Cricetulus griseus: one gene and its partners. The protein of the gene in region 3 purifies or fractionates together with the protein of the main gene of each other region. This does not show direct contact. Links are inferred from orthologs where the notes say so. Each region holds a gene or a part of one and is shown on either strand. Other genes may lie near its edges. The genes, in order: Slc7a11, Ube2e3, Otub1 and ubiquitin-conjugating enzyme E2 E1.

Region 1 (4,536 bases), on a different chromosome or scaffold from region 3:
GATAGGTTCTGTGCTCCTCGGAGCCAAAACTTTACTCCATTCAGGATCCCCAAGGGTTGCTGGTATCTTCTTCCTATTCAGCCTAACAGCTGGAGGTGACTGCTCTTAGAGTAAGGTATCCAGGACAACAGAGGGCTAGCATGCTTCCCATCCAAACAGGTAGCAGCCTGGCTTGCAATTCCTGACCATAACTGCTTTGTTTCTGTCTCATTACAATGTCTCCACATTGGGTTTATTTCTTCCTTTTCTTTCCCCACTTAAATAAACATTATTCTACAGCAATGCAGGGAATGGTAGCCATTTACAGTCCCAATTTACAAGTGTGCAAGCCAGTTTTGCACTCACAAGGTAAAAGATGGAGGATTCAGATAGCAAAGGTTTTTCTTACAATGCTCCCATCTTTGAGACCCATTTCAGACTCCACCTTGATACATTTACATGGAAATATCTACATCTATGGAGTACTGAGCCCAAAGATTCTTTCTTGTACTTGTGCTTTTTTTTCTAAGACCGAGGGCCATAGATTCATAACCAGATCATTCCTCCTCTTTCCAAAGCAGCATTAAGCCAGCATAATAACCCATGAAGCAAAATAGTTCCCTATCATTCCCCAGCTAAGCCACTTGGATCAGATAACATCTCATTTACAATCCTAGACTTACTTTCCAATAGTGTGACTGAACCCTCAAACACACATACACACACACACACACACACACACACACACAAAAATGAAATTATGGTTCCTGGCTCTTCAAGCTAGGGTTAAGACACAAGGATTACTGGGGGGGGGGGGCAGAGGGCGGGGAGTATATATCAAGTTTTCGGTAAACCTCCATTAGAGGTGAAAACAGTGGCACTTCGGACTCAGCATCAGTAAAATACAATATTAATAAGATAAGTCAAGATGAAGAGAGTCTTTTTCCACAAAAAATTCCAGCACTCCTCAAAACCCTCAGAAGTGGAGAAAATTGGCTGTACATGAAGCAGGTGACCTGAATATTCAGTGCCGGGTGGTGGTGGAGAGAGGGTAGAAATGCTTTAATATTCCGTGGGAACAGATGCATGGTGCTCCCAGGCAAAAGAAACTCCATTCAACAGAATTAATCAAATCTGCCTTGTGAAGATCACCACATTCCACATTCTTGACAGAGTACAACAGGCTCCCAGCACCCAGCTGGAGCTGAAAGCTCTTGTTCCCTCCCCTGCTTTGCTCTGGGGCTCCCAGGGACCCTCACTGTGGCTTGGCTGCTGCCCCAGGGCATGGCGCCCTGATTCAGGCTCAAAAGACATAGAGGAGTTGATTCTGCTCCTAACACTGTGATCACACTCAGTTCTTTTCTCTGCTTAGCACCACATTGTGCTTTGAACAAAAGTGAAAAGACTTCAAAACCATTGAGATTCAAAACTAAAGCGTGCACACAATGGCTGCAAGAAAATCTTCTTCGGGTATACAAATATTTTACACTGATCTTCTTATGCTATAACCCAACAGCCTTCAAACACATTTTGCTTCAAAGCTATGCTAAACCCATGTAGCTACACTCTGCTGATTCTCTTCTAATGCCGTATTTTCACAATTTGTGAGATTAATAGGGTACATATTCTATTGATTTTGGAATGCATTTGTATATTCCCTAAAAGATAAGATCCAAAAACATAAACAAAAAAGAAGGAATAAAGAAGAGAAAAATTGTATTCATGTTATATACATATTCACATTCACATAATTGTTGAGATACTGAAGTTTCTAGATAGTATTTTTAGGAGTATTGTCACAGCTTTAACTATTGGTTTTATAAATATGGAAAAAGAACTATTACCATTATTTACTCCAAAACAATGAAAATTAATCGTCCTGCAATGATTTTAGTGTTTCAACAATATCGTTTCACCTAGTGGGCTCTCTTGAAATAGTCATTTCAACTTAGAAGGTCAATACAATTTAGTTACAGGAAGTTCCTCTCTAATATTTGATTACTGTGACTCATGCTCCTCAACAAAACAGTGCTGCGCCAGGGCAGGGAGGAATCACAGGCAGACAAGCATGAAGGAAATAAACGCATCCATGGCATCGTGGTGCCAATCACATTTGCTGCCTGTTTGTGCTTTCAGCTACTGGAAGCATTTAGATGAAATATGTAAAGGCCCGTGAATATGCTGTATACTATTTGATTTTTATTACTTTGATTTCTCCTATCCTGTCTTTATCATACGAACCATTTTGATCTCCTGAGACCATCTCATTTCTACATCTGAATTGTTTCTTCCTCATAACAGGGTAGACAAAAAGTCATTAACCACTATTTATAAATATCCATGGTACTCTAGCACAAAGGCCTTTTGACAGGGAGGGTACTAATCCAAGTATCCCATGGCACTATTTCATCCTAACTGATGAATAATTAGAAGTAATGTATACTGACTGTTGAAAACCAGCATCTGTTTGTTTGTTTATTTTTATGCCACTGAGCTGAATCTAATAACAACCCTGACTCATCAGGGACTCCTAACTGTATAAGTTTGAAGCTTTGCCACACTGCAGGAAACTGGAAGGACCTCTGAAGAAGGATCAGTTTCAAGTATCCTCCCACCTTCCCTTCATGCTTCTCTTTCTCCCAGGGTAAGCTGCAGAAGATAATCAGTCTTACCTAAGTGTTCCCATAAACTAGAACCTATCTCCCACAAAGGCAACTGTAAAACCTAGAAATATGTCTCACACTTCCTCCTGCCTTTCTGTGGAAAGCAGCTGCACTGTTCTATGCTCCACTTTGTCTCATAATACATCGTAAGAGCCTTGGTTGAGAGAGGTTCTATTCTCTCCCAGGGGGAAGAAATGTTACACAAAAAAGTCAAGAAGAATCTGAACCAACACGTCACTTAGTTTCCCTCCAGTCTATTACCATTGCACTATATCTTTTGGCCATGAAAATTACTTTTCCTGGCTTTATAGGTCTTCATTTCTGAGAATTCCATGTTATTTGAAACTTTGACTAAATAATCACTGTGTACCTGACATAATGAAAATCTAGTTGGGGAAGAAATGTGTGATGTGCTTCCTCATCCGTTACTGGGGTCAAAGCTGACACTCCTATGATAAAAGACAGATTAACAAGAGAAAAGGCAAATGAAGCAATTTAATGAAGTATCTGGAGATATCCACTTACCAACCAGCATATGCATACATCCCATAATAAAAAGCCAAGGGCAACCCCATTAGATTTGCATCTCTTCCTGAAAATGCATCTTCAAAGTGCTGTGTATGACCTGCAATTAGGATGCAAGGATTTTTAGAGCTTTGCAAAGAATTTTCTATTATTTGTTCCAACCCTGACATGGTTGGGAGGTGAGCTGCCCTGTTCTGACTCTCTGTTCACAGCCAACTCTATTGATACTGCAACCACGCTAGGGCAGGAGTCTCAAATGCACACTTGTTGTCACCTAGACCATTTTAAAGTTCTTTTGTAGATGACGAGCAGGATGAAAGTGGCACTTAAAATAGGTGATATCATTTCCATTGTTTGAGTGTCCTCTATTTTAACCAGGATAGTAGACTAAAGCTTCTCCTATTAATTGAAGTTTTAAGTTTGTCAAAATTCTTAGAAGATAATGAATGGCATAGTAGGGATGAAAAGAAATCTCAGAGTCTGCCTTGACTGAGGAGGCATCAAGAAATGCTTGTCCTGCCTCCCACATCACATCACTTAACACCCTGCTGTTTATCCCTGGAGTACATTGGACACCTGCCTCCTAAAGCAGGGAAGGCTGCAGACAAAACTCACTGTCAAAACCCAAAAGGCTTGTTCATATAAAGGTTCATATCAAGGTTCCCATGCCCACTCTTTGTAGAGGTAACTTATTGACACTGTATTGGCCCATCCCACCATTTTCTTCTAAAAATATGAATAAGAAATTGTACCAAACCTCAAACCAAGTTTTACCAACGTTGGCATCAACATGCAGACTGAACACTTTTGTCCATCACACCCCCTCCCCCTCTATGTTGTGGAGAGCGGGTATCTTTTCCTTTGAATCTTTTGGGTAGATTACAAAACCAGATTTGTGTTAGTAAGCACAGATTCAAAACTAACCAAAAAATTATCTGTGTCATCCACCACCCCCAAGGAAAACAGCAAATGAGATTACTCAAATAGGAAAGGAACATGTTTTAAAACTGACCTTTAGTTCAATAAAAGGGGGCCAAGAAGAGAAAAGGAAGAGGATGTATATACAACACTCTCTTTTAAGTCAAATATCAGCTATTGCCCACATCATGAGACCAAGTATTCATAGTGATAGAATATGAGGATGGGAGCCAAGATGGACATGGTTGTGTTACATAAAGAACAATATTTTTTTCTCAAAGCAATCAACTTCTAAATATAGTTTTATGAAAACTTGACAAGGTGAATCAAAAATGCCCATTTTCCTGAAACATTTCTATGCCTTAATAGAAGGAAATTATGCACACTGAGATCTGTTGGGACTTGAGAGGATGCTCTGCACCTAAAAACAGAGGATCTGAGTTCAGCTCCC
Region 2 (5,248 bases), on a different chromosome or scaffold from region 3:
ATACATGCAGGCAAGATCATTACCTTCTCAATATTTTTCCACAACTTGAAATGCAAACAACAAATGTGTTTCTTACCTGCAGTTGGGAGGAGGATCAAGGGTTATTTCAGCTAGCTCCTTCTGAATTCTGTAAGTGAAATGAGAACAAACAAAAAGGATCTGAGGCAGTCTACAGAATAACCGGGGAATTACACTGCCCTCTACCACCATGCAGTTAAATGCAAGGCTGGCTTTGCCTTCAGTAATGCTAACATGGCTGCTTCCTCTTTGTTCTCAGAGGCATAACCCAAATCCCTTAGCAGAAACTTTGCGGCTCTTTTTCTCACGTGCTATTGTAAATAAGTGTGTCATTTACACCTGATTTGAGAAATAGTCCTTTCTGACTACTAAGTGAAGGATATATAATCTGCTAAAAACCACTCTTTACCAAAGAAATTCTCTTTTCAAGCTTATATGCAAATGAGACAAAAAGGGAGGAGGGAAAACACCAGAGATTTTGACAATGATTTCAAGTCACTTTTTACTGAGCTAAAAATGAATAGGCTGCTACTAGAGCACATTAATAGTTTTTGGCGATATTTTATCTGTCAGAAAAGTTTAAAAATTATAAACATGTTTGCCAATGAAAAATTTCAAACTGGCACTCACATTGACTGTAACTGTTTGCCTCTGATTTTTAGATATACCTTTAAAGTTCTATAAATTTGCAGCAGGGAAGAAGACAAATATATAAGCTCAAGTTACAGGCAAAGGCAACTCTGGTTTTCTTCAAATTTAGGATGTTTTCAAAACTTGAGACATATTTAATACGTTCCTCCACAAGATTACAATGAATCGGGCAATTTAGATTATTTCAAACACTGTTCCTCGTCAATAAAATATTCTAAAGCTGTTAGCATTTGATTGGTGGTTAAAATCCATACCAAGAGTTTGGCTCACAAGAAGAATGCAACATTCCATCAGCTTTTACATTTTTCTTCCTTCATTTATGACCAATTAAAAACAACAACAAAAAAACACCTGTGCTGGGTAATGCTGTGAGCACATTTTAACTGCTAGTTTCTCTAGGTATCCCAATATGACTATCACTCAGAGTCCCAATGGCAGGATCATATCTGTCATCCCAGAATATGAAAATCAACAGAAAACAAGGGATCTTTAACTCTGGCTTGGTTATGTTTCCCCTGCTTTTGAGTTAGCCTGTCAAACATATCTACAAGTTTTAGAGTGAAGAAGGAGGACAACCACGACACCGAATAACATCTAAAACTGTAATTGGCTACTTTTCAGTTTCATCTGCCATCACCAGGAGGGATAACAATAATTTACCCAGTCACACTTGTGCTGCAAGATTTCAAGTCTTGTCCTACACACTGTGGACCAATTTAAGGCACTCGGTAAGACCTGCTTCCCAATATAGCCAAGCCTGGTATTTAACAATTTTCTAGTAAATATTGCCATTTCTGACCATTCAGTTTTATGGAGAGAGGCACTGCTGCTCTCTAGAATTGTCAGTTTCACTCAAGCATGACTCACAAGAGGAAACCTCTCCAACGTACCATCTAATTGGGGGTTCACCAAATTTTCCTTGCTACCCTCTTCATCTGTCAGGATCACCCTCAGCTCCATTTGAGACAGCTCCTCAAGTTACCACAGTACAGAACAAAGTAGCCTTGCTTTAAAGTCAATAGCTGTAGGAAGGCTGCTTATATACCACATACAGAATGACAGCTCATCCAAGTTCAAACACATTTGATGGAGAAGTATTTCTGAACTATTGCCACTGTTGTTAAACCAACAAAACCACCCTATGGGACAGAAGGCAACCTGACAATGTGAGTCCTGCCTTGGAGACATTACCTTTTAGCACTAGTGGATAACTTAGCAGTCGTTTTGCTAGAAAGTTTGGTGTTTTTCTTCTGCTGGGTGGCAGAAGGTTTTCTCTCTTCCTGTTCCTCTGGCTCTGGAGCTGCAGGGTCTCGCTGGTCAGCATCTGAACTGCCACTGCTGGTGCTGGGACTCTCATCATCCGACCTTTGCCTATCACTGGACATCTTGGTGAAGTTATCTCTGGGAAAACTTCTAAGGAGAGAAGGGACCGTCAAGAAATGTTAAATCTTAAAATAATAATAATAATAATAATAATAATAATAATAATAATAATAAACAGCAGCATGTTCTTCTCTCTATTAGTCTTTTATTGAAAAAGATTCGACTGCCCCCATACTTAAGGTATAGCAAGGTTACAGGGAGGCCGATGTGTCTTATAAGGCAGTCGCTGAGGGATTTACCAAACTCAAGTTAGAAAACCCACTCACATTTTTCCCCCATCCCTTAAGACAATCTATCAATTGTCTACTTTCTCAGAAGGCATGAAACAGATTTGCCAAGGAACTTGGGCAACGGGCATTAATAACATATGACAACTGTAAATAACAGATCTCTCGGAGAATGTTCAAAAGTCACTAATATCGTCTAAATATTTACAGGCTGACACCGGTCTGAGCTACCAAATCCTCCTTCCCAGAGGGAAACATACCCTGTTAGTCGCCCATATGCTTATTTACGGTGGCGGGTCCTCCCGTGCGCACCGAAAGCCTTTGAACACAGCACTCAAAATTAAAAAAAAAAAAAAAAAAAAAAAAAAAAAAAAATCAACTGGCAGCCGCCCCACCGCCTTCCCCACGGCCAGCGGCGAGGATTCACCCGGCCAAGCCGGAGCTGCCACCCGGGGAAGGGCAGGATCCGAACTGCACCTTCTGCAAAGCTCCCGGTGCCACCGACGTCCCCCGCTCAATTCCTCCCTCACCGACCGACATTTTGTCAAAAAAAAAAAAAAAAAATTCCGCAAAGCGGCCAAAAGCCCGAGGGCAAAACAAACAAACAAACAAAAGCCCTCCCCCACCCCCCACCCCCAGAAGTGCAACAAATTGGCGCGGCCCGCCCCGGGGCGAGCGCCGGGCCACGCAGCTCCGCGGTCCTTTGTGGGGAGGGCCGCGCAGGGGACCGCGCCACTGCGCCCGCCGCCCCGCCCGCCGGGGGATGCGGGACCCGCCGCCCGCGCCGCTGACTGACGAGCGCGGCTGACTGAGGAGCGCGGCGCCCGGCGCGAACAAAGCTGCCGCCCCCGCCCCCGCCGCCCCCCACGCGGGCCCCGGCCCCGCCGCCTTACCTCGGCCGCCGCCCCGGCCCGCTCGTGCGCCGCTACGCTGTGGGGGAGGGAGAGCGCCGAGGAGCCTTCCTTGAGGAAATGGAGGCAGCTGGGGGGGGAACGGGGGGGGCGGAAAAAAAGCCGCCGCCGAGGCTCCGGCCCGGGAGTGTGGAACATCGAAAGTCGCAGGCGGCCGTGCAGTGCCGCGCTGCGGCCGGAGGGTGGCGCCGCCCCGCGCTCCGGGAGCCACGGTGGGGTGGGCGCTCCGCCGGCCGAGGCAGGGACGCGGGAGCCCCCCGCGCGCTCAGCCTCCCGCCGCCCGGCTAGGCTCGGCTCGGCTCGGCTCCTCCCGGCCGCGCAGTCAGCAAGTTCCGAAGAGAGAGAGCGAGCGAGCGGAGGGAGGGGGGAGGGGCGGGCGCGGCGGCCGCGCGTGCTCGCCGCTCGCCTGGCGGACGGGGAGCGAGCTGCTCCTGCGCGCCCCCGCGCGCGCGTCCCCGCCGCGCCTCCTTTCCACCGACGGGGGTAGGGTTGGATGAGGAGGGGGGGTAAGATGCGCACGAGTCCGCCCGCGCGCGGCCGGGACAAAGAGCGCGACGGGGACCGGCGGGCTGGCCCCTGCGCCCTTGGCCGCCGAGCTTGTACTGGAAGAGAGGGAGGAGGCGGGGGCGCGGTCTCGCGGGGCCGCGGGTGGCTTCCGGCCTGGGCCCGCCTCCGGGGCAACGCTGCCCATTGGACAACCCGCCCCTGAGGCTAGTGGCCCCGGGGTTGCCAGGGGATCCCGTACCTGAGCAACCGCCCGGGCGCGTGGCTGAGGCTTCCCAGATGCCCCGAGAGGCACGAAATGAATGGTGTGATTGAGGAGGCCAAGCACTGGGGCAAAGGGAAGCCGCTGCTGGCCCCTCTGTGAGCTAAAGGAAGTGGCAAGGTGAAGAAGTCCAGGTCTCTGAGGGAGGTGGAGGGGATTTTGCGACCAGGGGACCAACCTGAGCTAATCTCTGGCACCCATCCTGCAGTGTCGATGCCAAAGGGGACTGCCCTCTGGACATTTTGAAAACTTAGAAATCCCAAACTATTTTTGAAATGTCCCGCTCAAGATGTAGTGAGTGAGGCGATTGGGGGGGGAGGGGGGTCTATAACCTGACATTTCTGGCAGCAGGCTCTGCCTTGCATGAGAAACACCAGTTCTGGATAGAGAAGCCCTGGGTGGATCTATGGCAGTGGCCTCATAAAAACTTTTAGGGAGGAATCATGAAGGTTGCGCTACTCTTGTGTTTCTTTTTGCAGAATCTTAAGTGGAGACCAGTTTTGCCCCAAGCACAAAGTAGACAGAAGTACAAAAACTTCCTGTTTGCAGCTCCTGAGAACGTGTTCCAGTGATGGAACCTCAAAGGAATTTGTGCATTCCTCTCCCACAAGTGTCCAGGGCAAAAGTGCTGGGAGAATGAGTTCACAGAAGAAGCAAGAATGGCAGAGCTCTGTGAGATGAGCCAGTGTTCAAGAGAAAGAAAAATAACTAAGTGAGCCAACACACTAGTTTTCCTCCATATAAAAAAGTTTGGGTAAAAGAGCTACTCAGAACTATAAGCCACACGTGTAACTTTCCCAAGACACACACTGGGCAAGCTTACACAGAGACTATAACCTGTCCCAGTTGGTATGTCCAAAGCCTAGTCTCCTTACTTCCTGCCAGGAGTTCCAGGTCTGTCAGAGGACTCCATTACTGAAGTTCACCTGGATGAGAGGAAGGGAACGGTTTCCCAGTTAGGACAAAGTCCAGTCTCCAGAGGGACTGTGATCTGTGTGTGCATCCACACACCAACATTTTGATTTGACTGAAAGGGTACAGGTGGGCAGGGCGACGCAGAAGACTCCCAACTTTACATGATGAGACAGTGGAGCAGCAGCCAGCCAGTTTGAAGTTTGGGCATGTTTGGGATGCAGCCCTGATTGTGTATAAAAGGTGAGTTTCTGAGGGAAATTCAAATACCCTAAAAATAGCCTGAGGGCCCAAAGGCTAATGGTTAACAAAAATTCCATGAATCTTTGGTGTTTGGATTCGTGGAGTCCCGATCAGAATATTTAGGAACTACCAGATGC
Region 3 (4,129 bases):
ACCCATAGTAGGCAGTTGAGACCCTGCCACTGTGGGTGGGTTTGGGGAGCACGAAGTACTGGGACTGATGGCCCGGTGGAGGCCCCACCCGGGCTCAGCAATCCCTGGCGCAGGTGGATCGGCTTATCATCTGTGTGTTCCTGGAGAAGGACGAGGACATTTACCGAGAGCGCCTGCCCCATTACTTCCCAGTAGGTATGTGCCCTCCTTTTCCTCCGGGGCCCCCCAGGCTAGCCTACCCCTCCCCCATGGCCCTGGGCGGCTCTCACTGTCCTCTGCCTTCCAGCCTGAGGCTCCTGAAGCCCACCCTGAATGGGACTGGTAAGCAGGGCCTGGCCCAGTGTGGTGTGGCCACCCTACACTAACCTGGCCCTCTAACACCTGCTCAATCTGCTGTTGCCCACCTCCATGCAGTGGGGTGGTGAAGCTGGGGAGGGGCCCAGGGGCCTTCAGAAGTCCTAAACTCCTTTGATCTATCTGCTCTACCATCAGACCCACCTGGGCCTGTGGGACCTCGCTCCCAACTCTGAGAGAAGCCGAACAGCTTGTTCCAGCCTGGCCACCCCGAGTTCTGTCCTGTCCCTCAGTATGTCCTGCCCTGCCTTTCAGAAGCCTCTTAATAAAGATGTCTGATTCAGCCTCACTTGTCTGAGTGCTGGGGTCTGGGTCTGGCTGGGGCCCAGGGGTAAGGTGTCTTGGGGCTGTTTTTGCTTCAAGTGGCTCCAAGAGCCCTGGGTGAGCCAGGCGGGTGAGTGAGCCATTGGCCAGAGAGCAGAGGCGGTGGCGGCTGCAGCACTTCACATTTATTGAGGGCCTGCCCCCAAGGAGCTCACAGCCTGGGCTGAGATCCCACATGTGCTGGGGGTGGGGAGGAGAAGGCAAAGAGGCAGGTAATGCAGATATGGCCCAAGCAAAGGGGTGCAGAGCAAGCACAGGCAGGGAGCTCTGGGGAACCAGTAACAGGCAAGCCCTGCCTAGATAGGAATGAGGCCTTCTGCTCCTCCCACACCAAGTCAGTTCTTCCTGGGGCCCAGAGGATGAGCAGCTCCCCCATCTACCTGGGCCAGCCTCCTCCCATAACCTTCTCGTCTCAGGACTCCTCAATCATGCAGACCCCTGGAGGTGGGCAGAAAGCTGTGATCTGGAAGCTCTGGCCAGAATAGCAAATCTGTTACTCTAAGGAGCAGCTTTGAGTGTGGGTGACCTGAGACCTCCAGCCAAGTGCCCAAGGAACTTCAAAAGTTCCCATGGAAACCCCTGGAAAGTCAAGGAGGAAAGGGGGCAGGCCTTATGGGTAGATAGAAAGCAGAACTCTAAGGAGCATGGAGGCCTAGCCCCCTCAAATTTCTCTTGGCAGAGACACTTGGGGTGGATAGGAAGAAAGCTGAGGGACCCACCCTGGGGGAAGGGACAGCCAGACATACAGCAGCCAGTAGACATGTAGGGAAGAGCAGCAGAGCAGGGAAACGCACACTCAGGCTCACCACCAGCATCCCCTTTAATAAAACATGGAAGGTTGTGTGACAGGGAAAAGGGAGGAGTGAAATATGACCATTTACAACCACAAAAAACAAAACAAAACAAAAAAACAAACAAAAAAAAAACCAAAACAAAACAAAAAACCCTCTGTACATGTCTAGTGCCTGGCAGGGGGAGGGAGGCAGGACGCAGCAGGCCAGCCGGCCCTATTTGTAGAGGATATCGTAGTGTCCAGGCCGGTAGAGAAGGTAGACCTTGGGCTCGGAGCCCTCAGGGAAGACATGTGGGTTGGTGGTGCCGCCCTCACCACGGTCCATGTACTCTACTTGGATGGACACGCTGAGGGCTTGCGCCAGGGCGATGATGTGGATATGGTCGCTCTCCTTGCACATGGGTTCCACCTCCTGTGGTACAGGGGCAGGTCAGGCCTGTCCCAAAACCCTCCCCCTCCCCAGGTCCCAACCTCACCCAGCATGTCCCACCCTTAAACAAAAGAGAAAAAGAGGGTCCCAGGGCAGAGTTGAAGAGGAGGTGGCACCTGCTGGCAGAACTCCTTAACAGTCCGGCCACCCTCTATGAAGTGCTCGAAGAACTTGCTCTCTCGCTGCAGGTAGCCTGAGGTGAGCAGCCGCAGGTAGACCACAAGGTAGTCTGAGGTGCTCTGGTCATTGAAGGAGGCCAGCAGCTCAGCTACGGAGGTCTGCTTCTCCACCTGCTCGATAAGGTCCATGAACTGCCCCACCCGGGGACCAGAGATAAGAGGAGGAAAATGAGTAAGGAGAGGCCACCCTACCACAGCCTACAGAGCCACCCCACTGTTGGGGTGAGCCTGAAATAGCTAGGCTCACCGTGTTGTGGAAGTCCTCGATTGTGAACTCAGTGAAGCCCTGGGACACCAGGTCCTCTTTACTCTTGGCAGACACAGCCTTGAACCTGTGGGTGGGAAGGGATGGGAGGGCCAGCATGGGCTTCTCAGCCAGCAGAGCAAGGGCTTAGCCAGCCCAGGCCTGCCTAGACAAGACCACCCACCACCAAGTTCAAAAAGAAGTCCCAAACAACCAACCCAAATGATGGCTGGCCTAAGGCCCAGATCTCCTATCCATCAGGAGGGGCCTGGAGCCCCCAGTGCTCTCCTCACCGCTGCAGCTCCTTGCTGTCATCCAGCAGCGCCTCCAAGTGGGAGAAGCCGAATGCTCGATAGAAGCAGTTGCCATCAGGCCTGGTCTTGCGGATGTATGAGTACTTTTTGTGAAGGTCCTGTAGAAGAGCAGCCCAGTTTAACATCCAGCCAGGCCAGGGCCAGCCCAAGAAATGGCCATAGCAGCAGGCGGCAACTCAACTCCAGGTTCCCACCTCCAGGCTGCTGAATGAGGGCACCAAGTCACCCACTGGAACAGAGCCCTCCCCTGGAGGTTCCCAGAAGCTGTGCACTTATGTGTCAACAGGTTGTGTGGTCACCAGCTGCTTGCCATGTGGGTGCTACTGGCCACAGAGCCATTTGCTTATAAAAACAGATGACCAAATCTGTCCTTGACTAACTCAACTTTCCAGGTCTTTCAATACAAGCAAGGCAAAGCAGGGGAAAAGAACAGGCCATACTACCAGCTGCCTGGATGCCTGAGGTTCCTTAGCCTAGCATGGCTCCAGCCACAGAGAGCAGCTCTCTCTATAATCTGAGGCTAAACCAGCTCCCCCATCCACTTTTACCTCCCAACCACGCTGCATTAGTCAAGGACAGGGACCATCTCCTTCAGCTGTTTCCACTTTCTCCAAACGAAGCCCATCCCCATGAAAGCAACCCCTAGTGAAGCTTGGTAAACAGGTCTCACTCACCTGGACACCCCTACCCCTGCTCTCTTCAGCCTGATCCTTCCTCCTTTACTTATCTCTCTCAGGCTACCCCTCATCTTTCTCCATTCTAAAAGGCGAGGCTCCCACCAAATCACACTGTATCCTTCCTCAAGACACCTGCCAGATGACAACCCTCAGGCAACCCTCAGTAATGAGAGTCCCTTCACACTCAGAACTTGGCCCTGACATCTGCTACTTAGCTACCCCAATACTCACCACTAGCTCATGTCTTCCTTCAGATTCAAGGACATGAATCTAGTTTATAGATTATACTTTACAGACCCCACAGGTATGTAAGATCCAGGTGGGTCTTCCAATAAAAACAGAAACTCCTATGGAAGGCTTTTGTCCGACCAAGGTCAAAAACAACCTAGAGCTACTATAGCAGAGTCAATTCAGCCCTCCCTGGCCCAGCCTCTGGAGAGTGACAACACAACATCCCATCTTTTCCTTTACCAGCTCTCTCCCAGGCTACCTGCCGGCATCTATCTCCATCTAAAAGACAGGGCTCCCACCAAACCACACAGTATCCTTCCTCAAGACACTTGCCAGTTACAACACATCCAAATATAGGGCTTCCTGCCTGCTCTGTGAACACCACAGGCCTGACAGTATCTTCACCTTAATCCGAATAACAGTTTTTTCCTTTCATTTTGGTTTTGAGACAGGGTCACATTTTGCAGCCCAGGCTAGCCTTGAACTTGCAGGAATCTTTTTTTTTTTCTTTTTCTTTTCTTTTTTTCTTTTTTTTTTTTTGGTTTTTTGAGACAGGGTTTCTCTGTATAGTTTTGGAGGCTGT
Region 4 (5,140 bases), on a different chromosome or scaffold from region 3:
GTCTAAGAGCAAGTCTCACTTTCCGCTCTCCAGTGATCCTGGCTTAGAAACCACTTTCTTAGTCTGCTGATTCTGATTCCTTTTCCTGGTACACCATCTCCTGGTACACACACCCCTTCCAATTCCATGGCTAGTACCTACCTTCCAAACCAATGATGCAGAACAGGCCTACATCAAACACCAATCCTAATTCTCCCTTTCATCCTTTCCTAGATACCCTTTCTACTTTTACCTTTTAACCTTAACTCTGCTTTAACACACAGTTATTGTTTCAACAAGGTACCTAGGAATCTAAATGTGCTGCATTAAAAGATACATAAAACATGTTAGTTTACAGGCAAAATTATTATTTACTCTTTTCCAGCTCCTCTTCCTACTTCCAACATTTCTTTACTAGCTGTTTCCAAATAAGGTCTCAGGCTGGCAATCTGAATGACAATGGATGTTTCTCTATTTCCGAAGGTTTTCTGAGGGTAGGAACTTCCCCAGTCACCACTCAATTTATTTTCCCTTTTACTGGGGAAGAAGTGCCAGCTAAAAATGGCAATGCTTGGTACATTATAGCTGGTATCTTCCTGCTCACCAAAAACCCTGGAAAGGGAACATCCATTGTTATTCAGATCACTGAGCCTGGACTACACGAGGCCCTGACTACAGGAGAGCCTGTCTCCAACTCAAGAATGCACTGTAGCCAAGGACTGTGAACTGATCCTCCTGCCTGGCAGAGCCTTGGGATTACAGGTCTGGGGACTGAACCCAGGGCTTCAAGCATGCTAGGCCAGTTCGCTACTATTTGAGGTACCAAATAAAGTTGATTTTGTTTTGGAGACAGTCTCCCTATCTATATTCAGACCTCCTGGACCTCTCTTTGTAGAACAGGCTGACTCTGAACTCACAAGAGATCTATCTGCCTGCTTCTATTTCCAAGGACTGAGCTGATAAAAGGCCTGTACCACCATGCCCAGAACTAAGTTTTTAACTTCCATAGCATAAACAGACAAACTATATCCGCAGAGAAATCCAATTGTTTATACTCTACTTTTTTATACCTGTCCATTTTCCTCCCACTATAGTTACAAACACACTGAGGGCCTTCTAGCACAACACAAAAGCTGCACTGACCTAAGGGGGTGGGTCCAAAGCAGAGTGAGGATGGAGAGATTAAGAACACTGGGAGAGAGAAGCGCCATCTTCAGCAAGGAGGGGAGAACCCAGGCTCAGAGACAGTTCACATGGGCTTAATCAAAGAGGGCAGGTTAAGACTCAGGAGGGCCTGAGATACTATCACACCAACCCTTTGAAAATGAGAACAACCTTACCAAGGCAGCTCGACACCCTCTCAAGACCTGATCATTAACTATGGAGAATGGGCTGAAGTCACTACCATCAGGCCAGTTAGGTCACTAAAACAGTATACCAAGAATTTCAGGTCAGGGAAAATGACAGAACAAACTGTCAATCTGAGTTCCAGGCTCACTACTCAGCAGAGAGAGCCAAAGTCACTTAAATGTCCCATTTCATTTTAAATTCTAGTCCAATTTCCATTCCTTGCTATGGTTAACTATCTCAATGAAAAGAGAAGGATTTTTGAAAGGATGTCAGGGGCTTCCCAGGTCTCTGCTAGACTACAGGGATCAGGGAATGTCATTAAAGGTTGACAGAGACAAAGTATTCACCCGTCTTTTTACATAAGAGACTAACCCTCGGTGTAGTGAGTGGCTCACTCCTGAAGGCCAGCCTGGGCTAGAGCATAAGACACTGTCTAATAAAACAACAAGGCCTCCTTGAAAACTATCAAAATGAAGTTCTTAAACAAACAAACAAAACTATCTCTTCTTAAACAAGCCAACAAAACTATCTCCCAAAATACCTGAAATAATCATTTTACTGTTATTTACTGACTCATCTGCCCCAAACCGGAAAAGGCTCTTCAAATTCCACCAGAAAACATCACCTCAGTTTCTTAAGCACTAATGGGAGTTGATTATTCCTTAAGCAAGTTATGGAGAAAACTCTATTCAGAAAACGTCATCCCTGCAACAGGTGAGGAAGAGAGATGGTCAGAATTCATTGACAGAGTTCCCGGAAGGTACCCTTAATTATAAAGGAGGGTGACAGCCTCTGAGAAGTCACAGATTCGTGATTACCAGGACGAGGACTCTGAAATCACATTCAGAGTCACTCATAAAAGTAATGAGGATTCTCGAAACTTCATCAAGAAATAGACGAGGCCAGCCACAACTGCTGCTTATGGGCAAGGGCATTAACAAAACCAGAAACAGTAAGCAGGAGAGAAAACAGGTGGGACTCCATGCCCCATTTTCCTGCCAGAGAACATATGAGAACGTCGTTGAAGCCACCCTCCCTGACATGCAGCACGAGGCAACTGGGAAGCTAGGACTCCTGGAGAAAGGAGTGGGGTACCTCTTGGCGCTGGTGGAGAGGAGCTTCGAGTTTTTGCTCATGCTGACTTTACTCTCCTTCTTCTTGGGGGTGCTGGCTTCTTTCTCGGTCTGCTGGTTGGAGGATGAAGATGAAGAGGAGCTGGTGCTGGCCCTCGAATCGTCATCCGACATAGCGAACCCCCCACCCCACCCCGCGAACGGCCCCTGCAGGGGTAGGAAACAAAACAGAAACACAGACCATGCAGGCGCTGCAAAGAGGGAACTCCGCTGTCAGGAGGGCGCGGGCCGGGCCGCCCCCGCCGCCCTGCAGAGGATCGGGGCCCACCGCCGCACCGGCCGAAGATCCGCGGGGGCCGCGATCGCGCGGGGGCGGCCCGGGTAGGGCCGGGAGCCGCCGCCGCCGTCCCCGAGGCCTCCCGGCGTCCCCCTCGAGTTTGGCGAGGTCGGGACGAGCCGGGCAGGGAGAGTGGGTGAGGAAGCCGAGCGTGGGCCGCGTGGGCCGCGGGACACGGCGCCTGGCCAGGCCCGGCCACGCGGGGCTGCGCTCGCAGGCCGGCGCGCACAATGCGCCCCGGGCGGGCGGGTCCCCGCGGGGACCGGGCCGCGCTGACAGTTCGCGCGGTCCCCATCGCCCCGGCCCGCCGCCCCATCCCCGCCGCCCGGCCCTCGGCGCCCCCGGCCCGGCCCTGCTGCCCGCGGCCCGGCGGTGCCGCCCGCCCCCGGCCCCGCGGCCCCAGGCCCGCGGCCCGCCCGCTCGCCGCCCGCCCCGGGGCCCCCCGCACCTCTCTTTGTGTCTGGCTGCTCCGTGCCGCCGCGGCGGCTGCTGCTGCGGCTGCGGCTGGGCCTGGCCACTCGTGTCTCGCTCTCGCTGGGAGAGAAGCGGAAGTGCAGCAACAGCAACTATTAACCAGGCAATGGCTTCCCCGGCCGCACACGCTCCGCGCCACTCCTCCTCTCCGCCCCGCCCCGCGCCCCTCCCCCGCCGCACCTGGGGGCCGCGGCCCGGGATCCCCGAGCGACCCCGGCGTGGCCTGGGGACCCGGAGCCCGGCGGAGCCGAGGGAGCCCGGCGGGATGGGGGAGACGACTGCGTTCAGGTGGAGCCTGGGGTGATCGGGGGAAGTTCTTCCCAGGAGGGCTTTAGGAAAGGGCTGGGGGTGAGGGGGCCGGTGTCGGGGGGGAAAGATGGTACTCTCCGGGCGAGGACTTTGACTCCTCCTCAAAAGTGGCCGGTGTAGAGAAAGAAAGAAAAAAATCCCCCAACAGGATTTTCCTTTGGGCTGACACTTGTTTCTCCCTCTGGCAATTTAACTTGCTAGGAGCAGAGGTCACGCCTGTGAGAAAAATCCCAGACTCGGTTTCTGTTCAGGATACCAGGCGTGAGCAATTTACAACATTAGATACAACCCCTTCACTTGTTATAGAAAAGGATGTGGGGGTTTTTATGTACGCGATTGGAGTTCATGACAGGTAACTGGGATCTGTAACCGGGCTTGGGAGTTGTAAGATCACTGGGAATAAACCTTAAACTGCCGGTTTTGACAAGACTTGGAATTCTTAAATTAGGTATAAAGTCTGAGTTTTAGAAATTGAAAGAAAGCTCTAGAAAGCACCCTGCTTTCGCTCCAGTACGATGCTATTCAAACAATAATTTTAGAATAATCACACAGTAATGTCACTAAATTGTTCCTTTCGTGGCACTGTACCAAATTTTATTTTTGAAAACATTCCACCATTAAATTAGGGCTTAGTTTCTTGCCTGTTTGTCGTTTGCCCTGAAGGTAAAAACAAATCCCTATAGTCCAAGTACAAGGTACCACAGACACAAGATCTTGTGTAATGCCCAGACAACCGCACTCAGATTTCCATGGTCCACTTCAAATTATCTCATTCAAATTGTCATTGCCTCCCAAGGCAACCGAGTCTTCAGTTACTGTAACACATGATATAAAGCTTAAGGCATATATAGTAACCAGGCAAGCAGGCATTCTCACTATACGGGTAAACCCCTTCTAGCCTTTAATCTGAAACTCCAGCTGGGTCTGTAAGATTCATAAAGTAATTGTGCACTTTATTCACTCAGTCTCTAAGGAAATCTGTACCTAATAGGAGTTGTCTCCAAACACATGTAAAATCACTGGTGAGACTTCCACAGGTCATCATTTTGAGCCTCCTGTCAAAAAGAGCTGTTCCTCCACTACCCAAAGCATATGCATTTTTGAAGAAATGTGTTTGATTTTGTATGTGCTGGTACAGTTTATAAATGATAACATTGGCGGGTCATGGTGGTTCAAGTGTTTAAACCCTGCATTGGGAGTTTAAGGCCAGCCTAGTCTGGATCTCTGTGAGTTCGAGGTTAACCTGGTCCACAGAGCTGCGTTCCAGGACAGGCTCCAAAGCTGAAAAAAACAAACAAACAAAAAAGCCCAGCCTAAGTTCCAGAATCTCCATAGATATATATTGAGACCTTATCTCCAAAAAATCATAGAAAGCTAGAAATTAATAAATGAAGATAGCTATGTTATTCAGAATATTCTGAGGTAAAGATTACTATTTGTTTTAAAACTTTATTTCTTTTTGGTTTTTCGAGACAGGGTTTCTCTGTGTAGCTTTGGAGCCTATCCTGGCACTCACTCTGGAGACCAGGCTGGCCTCGAACTCATAGAGATCCGCCTGCATCTGCCTCCCGAGTGCTGAGACTAATGTCGTGTGTCACCACTGTCCAGCTAGCCATGG

The links.
Region 1: the proteins of Otub1 (region 3) and Slc7a11 purify together in Homo sapiens (affinity purification with western blotting; 5 studies listed by BioGRID, with this or other methods). This does not show direct contact. The link is inferred for Cricetulus griseus from reciprocal best matches to the Homo sapiens genes OTUB1 and SLC7A11.
Region 2: the proteins of Otub1 (region 3) and Ube2e3 purify together in Homo sapiens (affinity purification with mass spectrometry; 3 studies listed by BioGRID and IntAct, counting the BioPlex papers as one, with this or other methods). This does not show direct contact. The link is inferred for Cricetulus griseus from reciprocal best matches to the Homo sapiens genes OTUB1 and UBE2E3.
Region 4: the proteins of Otub1 (region 3) and ubiquitin-conjugating enzyme E2 E1 purify together in Homo sapiens (affinity purification with mass spectrometry; 4 studies listed by BioGRID and IntAct, with this or other methods). This does not show direct contact. The link is inferred for Cricetulus griseus from reciprocal best matches to the Homo sapiens genes OTUB1 and UBE2E1.

Annotation. Positions count from the first base shown.
Region 1 is NW_023276806.1:101,013,275-101,017,810, reverse strand, and holds part of Slc7a11 (cystine/glutamate transporter), read right to left. Parts: intron 3,268-4,536; coding exon 3,168-3,267; intron 1-3,167. UniProt on the Homo sapiens protein: Heterodimer with SLC3A2, that functions as an antiporter by mediating the exchange of extracellular anionic L-cystine and intracellular L-glutamate across the cellular plasma membrane.
Region 2 is NC_048599.1:96,288,338-96,293,585, forward strand, and holds the start of Ube2e3 (ubiquitin-conjugating enzyme E2 E3), read right to left. Parts: upstream 3,310-5,248; 5' UTR 3,173-3,309; intron 2,561-3,172; exon of another isoform or gene 2,540-2,560; intron 2,083-2,539; 5' UTR 2,055-2,082; coding exon 1,861-2,054; intron 128-1,860; coding exon 77-127; intron 1-76. UniProt on the Homo sapiens protein: Accepts ubiquitin from the E1 complex and catalyzes its covalent attachment to other proteins. In vitro catalyzes 'Lys-11'- and 'Lys-48'-, as well as 'Lys-63'-linked polyubiquitination.
Region 3 is NC_048596.1:52,258,497-52,262,625, reverse strand, and holds the end of Otub1 (ubiquitin thioesterase OTUB1), read right to left. Parts: intron 2,737-4,129; coding exon 2,618-2,736; intron 2,413-2,617; coding exon 2,328-2,412; intron 2,213-2,327; coding exon 2,018-2,212; intron 1,884-2,017; coding exon 1,686-1,883; 3' UTR 786-1,685; downstream 1-785. Other genes in the region: ADP-ribose glycohydrolase MACROD1, read left to right, coding at 114-195, 493-530. UniProt on the Homo sapiens protein: Hydrolase that can specifically remove 'Lys-48'-linked conjugated ubiquitin from proteins and plays an important regulatory role at the level of protein turnover by preventing degradation.
Region 4 is NW_023276807.1:175,441,028-175,446,167, forward strand, and holds the start of ubiquitin-conjugating enzyme E2 E1, read right to left. Parts: upstream 3,347-5,140; 5' UTR 3,188-3,346; intron 3,034-3,187; exon of another isoform or gene 2,647-3,033; coding exon of another isoform or gene 2,644-2,646; intron 2,610-2,643; 5' UTR 2,577-2,609; coding exon 2,425-2,576; intron 1-2,424. UniProt on the Homo sapiens protein: Accepts ubiquitin from the E1 complex and catalyzes its covalent attachment to other proteins. Catalyzes the covalent attachment of ISG15 to other proteins. Mediates the selective degradation of short-lived and abnormal proteins.